2 linked regions of the Callithrix jacchus genome follow. The protein of the gene in region 1 binds, or shares a complex with, the protein of each later gene. Links are inferred from orthologs where the notes say so. Each region holds a gene or a part of one and is shown in the gene's direction. Other genes may lie near its edges.

Region 1 (3,746 bases):
ATGTATCCCTCCTTTTCTTTTTTCGAGTGTCTCGCTCTGTCGCCCAGGCTGGAGTGCAGTGGGGCAATCAAGGCTAGTGGAGCCTCAATCTCCTGGCCTCAAGCGATCCTCCGCCTCGGCCTCCAGAAGCGCTATGATCACAGGCGGAAGCCACCGCGACGGTCTGTTTTTTCAATGTTGAGAGGACCACCAGACACAGAACCGCCGACCCTAGATAGGACCCAGCATCCTCACTGCCCTAACCCGCAAGGCTGGCCCGGACAACCCCTAAGGCGGCCGAGGGCGGGCCCTGAGGGGGACGGCGCGCGCCTTGGGGCACAGCTCGTGGCGGTGACGCCGCTCAGGTGGCGGAGAGCTTGGGTATCTCTAAGCAGGTTGCCAAGCCACAGCCGAGACCTCGGATCTCGCCTCGGGGGTCACTTTTCGATTATACAGCGCTTCCTCTCTCCTTCCTCCCTCGGCTCACGCTGCCCCGGCAGACCACAGACGTATAAAAAAGCTCTTCAGTCCTTTCCCGCGCTCGCTTCGGCGCCTACTGAGGCTGCGCGAATTGTGAGGGCGAGACCCAGAGATACCCTCCCCAACTATGCGCGTGCGCCCTCTGCTGGCGCCTAACGGACCTCCGGGTGCGCGTGCGCACGCACCCCAAGCCCCGCCCACAGACTGTCGGCGCGCGAGCCGTTGGCGCTGCTCGCTGCTTTCCCTCTCCCATTTTGGGGCGGGGCCGGGCCGCCGAGTCTGTGGTGGAGGCAGGGGCCACATAATGCCACGCCCCCGTCTCGTCCCCCTTTGAAGCCCCTCGACTCTTTACTGCTGGTCAATCAGAGCCCGTCCTCATATCAGTGCTGGCCAATGGGAGGTACGCTCGGGCTGCTTCCGGCTCCGCGCTACGCTCGCCCCCTCCCCAGGTCTCCCCGCGGCGGGCGGGACTCAGGGGCGAGTGTCGGCCGCGGTGACACGCTGCGGGCCTGGAGCCAATAAGGGGCGGGCTCGGCGCTGATGGACGGGGCTGGTGGCCAGTGGATAGGCGCTAGCTGCACTTCCTGTCGGGGAGAGAGTGTAATATGGCGAAGACCTACGATTACCTGTTCAAGCTGCTGCTGATCGGGGACTCGGGGGTGGGGAAGACCTGTGTCCTGTTCCGCTTCTCCGAGGACGCCTTCAACTCCACGTTTATCTCCACCATAGGTAGCGGGATCCGGGAGTGGCTAGGGGCGCCGGAGGCCCGGGCTGGGCGCGCCCCTGAGGGGCTGGGGCTGAGAAATCTACCCTGCTGGGCGGGCCGAGGGCTCTGAGAGGGTCGAAGGGAGAAGAGCAGCCGCCTGCACCGCCGTTTCGGGGTTCATGGGCCGTGGCGGGGGAGACCAGGTGCCCATTTTGCAGATGGGGTGACTGAGGCTCCCATCCTCAGCCCGCTCGTTAGGGAGTGTTATGTCCTGGGCAGGCGTCTTCGCACCCGTCCTTTCGGTCTGTCCTAGCAGCAGCCCTCGAAGCGGTTCTTTTGCGGTTCCTGTCTTACAGAGGTGGAAACTGAGTCATGAGGAATTGGCTGTGGGAAAAAGACGGTGACATGTCGCCTTAATGAGCAATTGCTATGTGCCAAGTCCTTCACGTGCATTTCCACACTCTAGTTTCGGTGTTTTAAGTGCTGTTATGAGCCCGTCTCACAGATGAGTAATTTGAGGCTCAGGGAGGGCGTGGGACTTATCCAAGGCCACACAGTCTGCAGGTGGTGAGAATGGGATTTAATGGAATTTAATCCTGGCTGTGTCTCACCCCAAAACTCGAGGCTTAGCTCTTCTAGAGAGTTAGCACCACACACCCCTGGCTGATGACAAACTCAGTTAATGCACCTTGGAGCCGGGACTCTAACTCACACCATTCCTCCTCTTCTCTGGAGCATCCAGAGGTTGAGTCCCTCTCCTTGCCATGTTTTCCCCCATAAGTGTATTTTCCTCTAGAAGAAATGATAAGAGGAGTCAGGACCTTTTCCCTGCCTGCCTTTTATCCTGCTCCAGGATGACAGCAATGGCAAGTGACAGTGCTGCCTGCCCTGGGACCTGTCATCCCCAAGAAGATGCAAGATAAAACCCTCAATGAGAAACTAAATCAGCCACTGCCACAGACAGCCTTGACTTCCCTATCAAAGGGCCCAGGACACCGGTTGTCAATTTAGAACAGCTTTTCCCGTAGGGCCAGCCCACATCGTGGTTGAACAAAATTGGCTTGTTGTGATGTCTCAGTTGTGATGTCCACAGAAGTAGAGTTGACCTCTCTCAGCGCCACAGAAGCAGTCCTGGCCCACGATGAAAAGGTTAGACCTGGGAGTAACACCGATCAGAGTGGCCTGTGAGCTCTGCAGCCCTGCTAGGGATGGGGATAGTGAGGGAACGGTCACTAAGTCAAGGAGTTTATTCAAAGTCAAGAAAACATAGAGAATGGCCTTTGCTTTATGTGTGACTTCAACAGAATCGTGTTATCTCCCTAAATCTCATGATAATGTGCCAATTCCATTCTTGCCCCCCTCGAGGAGCTGCACTTTATGAAACAGTTATATGCCAGATGTAAAGTAGAGAGAATTAACTGGAAATCATCATGTCTGGTTCCTAGTTGCTGCTGGCCCTTGAACGTGCACTACCCCTCTCTGACCCCTGCTGTCTTCAGAGCAGGAGTGACGCTGTCTGCCTGGGCTAGTGCCCTGGTGGTTGAGGACTAGAATTAGACAATAAGGGGTTGTCATCACAACCAGAGGCCATCTAGAGAAAACAAATGAATGGCTCCTGTGGTGACAGCTTCCACCCTCTGAAGACAGATGTTTCTGAATTCTTCCCCCTCCCCCACTCCAAGGCCAAGCTTTAGGGTAACCCTTGTGCCCCAGCCAATCAAAAAGTGGCTTTAATTCAGCCTGGACGACAGGGCAAAACCCCATCTCTGCAAAAAATCAAATGAAATTAGCTAGGCATAGTGGCTCACCCATGTAGACCCAGCCACTTAGGAGGCTTAGGTGGGAGGGTGGATTGAGCGCAGGAGGTCAAGGTGCGGTGAGCTCTGATGGCGCCACTGCACTCCAGCCTGGGCAACAGAGCGAGACCCTGTCTCAAAAAAAAAGAATACAACTGTGGGCAGACTGTGGCTTGCATTTACCCAGTTCCCAGTTTCCTAGCCTCAGCACCTTCCCCTCAAACCCCCTCTTTAGAGTTACTTTAAAGCTTTAAAGAGGCCATCTTCCATTTGCAGATGAGGATATGACTTGGTGAAAGTTAACCTAGCAAGGTGACCCCAAGATCCCTCCCTCCCACCCCAGCGTTCCGCTCCTTCCATTTGTAGCCTTCTGTCTTCTAGGAAAGTCTAATTCACCGTGACCTTGAAGTTCAGGCCTCATAATTCTTAGGTCTCATAAAGTTTGCACTTCCTAATTAAATTTGGCGTGTTAATAAAACCCAGCAGGAGTGTAGGGCAGAGCGCTACTGTGGAGCTTAGCCAACCTAACAGTGCTCCTTGATTTTGTGTGTCCCTGTGCACGCATGGCAGGAGGTGGGGTATGCTTTAGGAAGCCTAGGCACACTGGGCTGTCTAATCCTGAAGCAGAATCTCTCAATGCTTAAAGACAATTCCATAAATTAGCCAGACGTGGTGGCACTTGCCTATAGTCCCAGCTACTCGTGAGGCTGAGGCAGGAGAATCGCTTGAACCCAGGGGGCAGAAGTTGCAGTGAGCCGAGATTGTGCCACTGCACTCCAGCCTGG
Region 2 (3,646 bases), on another chromosome or scaffold:
GTTTGGATGCATCCGCTCAGACTACTTCTCATGAACTCACCATTCCAAACGATTTGATTGGCTGCATAATCGGGCGTCAGGGCGCCAAAATCAATGAGATCCGTCAGATGTCTGGGGCGCAGATCAAAATTGCGAACCCAGTGGAAGGATCTACTGATAGGCAGGTTACCATCACTGGATCTGCTGCCAGCATTAGCCTGGCTCAATATCTAATCAATGTCAGGCTTTCCTTGGTGACGGGTGGCATGGGGAGCAGCTATAACAATGCAGATTCATCCATAATCCCTTTCTGCTGTTCACCACCACCCATGATCCATCTGTGTAGTTTCTGAACAGTCAGCGATTCCAGGTTTTAAATAGTTTGTAAATTTTCAGTTTCTACACACTTTATCATCCACTCGTGATTTTTTAATTAAAGCATTTTAATTCCTTTCTCTGTTCAGCTGTTGATGCTGAGATCCATATTTAGTTTTATAAGCTTCTCCCTGGTTTTTTTTTTTTTATTTTGGCTCATGAATTTTTCTGTTTGTCATGGAAATGTAAGAGTGGAATATTAATACATTTCAGTTTAGTTCTGTAATGTCAGGAATTTTTCAAAAAAATTAAAAGATGGACTGGAGCTTTTTCTTTGTGAATAGAAAAAAAAAAAAAAAAGAAAAGAAATACATGGCCCGGCACGGTGGCTCACGCCTGTAATCCCAGCACTTTGGGAGGCCGAGGCAGGTAGATCAAGAGGTCAAGAGATCGAGACCATCCTGGTCAACACGGTGAAACCCTGTCTCTACTAAAATGCAAAAAATTGGCTGGGCATGGTGGCACGTGCCTGTAATCCCAGCTACTCAGGAGGCTGAGGCAGGAGAATTGCCTGAACCCAGGAGGCGGAGGTTGCGATGAGCTGAGATCGCGCCATTGCACTCCAGCCTGGGTAACAAGAGCGAAACTCCATCTCAAAAAAAAAAAATACAAAATGAGCTGAGCATGGTGGTGCACTGTAGTCCCAGCTACTCGAGAGGCTGAGGCAGGAGAATCACTTGAACCTGGGAGGCAGAGGTTGCAGTTGAGCTGAGATCGCCCCACTGCACCCCAGCCTGGCGATAGAGCAAGAGTCCGTCTCAAAAATAAATAAATAAGTAAAGACACATAATTCAGTCCACAGCAAGGGGACACCACGAGGGCTAATTAACCAGTGGGCACTGCAACAGAACACCTAAGTGGATGTAATGAGTTGTACTGTGCCATAATTGAAATATTTCATTTTGGTCAGGCTTCTTATGGTTGCAAGTGACAAAAGTCCAATTTAAACTAGCTTAAACACAAAAGGAAACTTTTTGGTAACATCACTGGGTAGGGGCTAGGTGCAATGGCTAGCTCAAGCCTGTAATCTCAGCACTTTGGGAAGGCCAAGGTGGGAGGATCACTTGAGGCCAAAAATTCGAGACCAGCCTTGGCAACATAGTGAGACCCTATGTTTACAAAAATTAAACAATAAGCTGGCATGATGGCGCATGCCTATGATCTTAGCTACTTGGGAGACTGAGGTGGGAGGATCACTGGAGCCCAGGAATTCAGTTACAGTGAGCGATGATCATGCCACTGCACTACAACCTGAGTGACAGTAAGACCCTATCTCAAAAAAAAAGGAAGGCCAGAAACAGTGCCTCAGCACTTGGGGAATCTGAGGCAGGCAGGTCGCTTGAGGTGGTGAGGAGTTTGAGACCAGCCTGGCCAACATGTTGAAACTCCGTCTCTACTAAAAATACAAAAATTAGCAAGACAATCTCAGCTACTTGGGAGGCTGAGGCACGAGAATCGCTTGAGCCTGGGAAGCAGAGGTTGCAGTGAGCTGGGATGGGGCCACTGCACTCCAGCATGGCAGGCAGAGCGTGACTCCCTCTCAAAAAAAAAAAAAAAACGGAAATAGACCAACCTGGCCAACACAGTGAAACCTCGTCTCTACTAAAAATACAAAAATTAGCTGGGCATGGTGGTGCAGGCCTGTAATCCCAGCTTCTTGGGAGGCTGAGGCAGGAGAATTGCTTGAACCCAGGAGGTTGAGGTTGCAGTGAGCCAAGATCATGCCAATGCACTCAGGCCTGGGCAACAGAGCCAGACTCCATCTCAAAAAAAAAAAGGAAATAAAAAGAAAGAAATTTACAGTGGTTGGAATCAGGGACTTGGTGCCTCTCTTTCTCCTCTTTGGCTTTCTTTGCTCGTGCGCTCATTAGTTTGCATTACAGATAAGCTTTCTCTAAATCTTAGAAACAGACTTCTGGCAATTCCAGTGGAGTATGAGGAAACCACACTTTTTCTCATTTTCTACATCAAGTCCAGGGAAATACTCTGGCCCTCCTTGAGCCAGATCTCAATATTATCTGACTATAATATCAATCAATATAAATCTAGCTCTTATCACCATCTGACTTACGATTTATACTTTTATTTTACTTATTGCTTTATTTATTGACTGTTTCCTTCCCCCACCGGAATATAAATTACATGAGAGAAGATATTAGTTTTGTTTTATTCAGAGACAAAATATTTATTAACCACAGCAGGTAGCTTAATAAATATTTGTTGAATGTTACGCACTATGTATTATCTTACCTAATCTCTCGATCCTTTGAGGTAGGGACTATTATTAGACTCATTTTACAGGTTAGGAAACCAAGGCTTAAGTTAGAGAATGTATACGCAGTCATATTCCTAGAAGGTTGAGAAGGTTGAGAAGCTTGAAGTAGTAGCCAATGCAATTAGGTAAGAGAAAGAAATAAGAGGCATCACATTGGAAAGGTAGAGGGAAGATTCTCATTTGAAACAGAATTTCTCTGACTCTAGTGCTTTCAACCATAATATTATTACTATAATCATAATCATCATCATTAAGATCCTTTATTTTCAGAGCTGCACAGATAAGAGGTCTGTAATAAAGGCCAGGTGCAGTGGCTCACACCTATAATCCCAGCACTTTGGGAGGCTGAGGCAGATGGATCACTTGAGGTCAGGAGTTTGAGACTAGCCTGGCCAACATGGTGAAACCTGATTTCTACTAAAAATACAAAGATTAGCCAGGCATGGTGGGGGGTGCCTGTCGTCCCACCTATTCAGGAGACCAAGGCAGGAGAATCGTTTGAACCTGGGAAGCGGAAGCTGAGTGAGCCGAGATCACACTATGCATTCCAGACTGAGCAACAGAGCAAGACTCCAACTCAAAAAAAAAAAAAAAAAAAAAAGATCTGTAATAAAATAACTCATTGAATTTTTGCCCCATGTTTCTCAGTGGCCTGATTTCACCAAGAGAAGGCCCAGAAGGAAGAACAGAAAAAGATGCTGTAGTTACCAGGGCCAACAATGCCAGCAGGAGCAAGGAGGAGAAGACAATCATAAAGAAGCTGTAAGTGTCACCCTGCTGCCCCCGGTCCCACTAAATAATAACTCAAGGAAGCAGTTGGGGCGAGAGGAGGCTGTCCAGCTGTCCAGGGCAGGCAGGCCCTCCCCTCTCCCAGTTGTGGTGCTGCAGCTCATGGGAAAACTCAACGCCAGTGTATTATAATGATATCTGCCAGGCAGTAGCTTAGGCACTTGGCATATATGAATTCATCGAATTATCACAGTGACCCTGCAAAGTAGATGCTATTTTACAGATGGA

Evidence for each region. Proteins that work in one complex are often made in the same cells at the same time.
Region 2: the proteins of RAB8A (region 1) and RILPL2 are in contact, whole or in part, in a crystal structure (PDB 6SQ2), measured with the Homo sapiens proteins. The link is inferred for Callithrix jacchus from reciprocal best matches to the Homo sapiens genes RAB8A and RILPL2. Residues at the interface, in NP_005361.2 of Homo sapiens: Ile41, Gly42, Ile43, Asp44, Phe45, Lys46, Ile47, Lys58, Trp62, Phe70, Ile73, Tyr77; in NP_659495.1 of Homo sapiens: Leu135, Leu138, Arg139, Leu142, Gln143, Arg145, Asn146, Lys149, Ser150, Leu153, Glu157.

What each region holds. Positions count from the first base shown.
Region 1 is NC_133523.1:14,726,842-14,730,587, forward strand, and holds the start of RAB8A (ras-related protein Rab-8A), read left to right. Parts: upstream 1-1,050; 5' UTR 1,051-1,064; coding exon 1,065-1,188; intron 1,189-3,746. UniProt on the Homo sapiens protein: The small GTPases Rab are key regulators of intracellular membrane trafficking, from the formation of transport vesicles to their fusion with membranes.
Region 2 is NC_133510.1:126,610,009-126,613,654, reverse strand, and holds part of RILPL2 (RILP-like protein 2), read left to right. Parts: exon of another isoform or gene 1-619; intron 620-3,277; coding exon 3,278-3,391; intron 3,392-3,646. UniProt on the Homo sapiens protein: Involved in cell shape and neuronal morphogenesis, positively regulating the establishment and maintenance of dendritic spines. Plays a role in cellular protein transport, including protein transport away from primary cilia.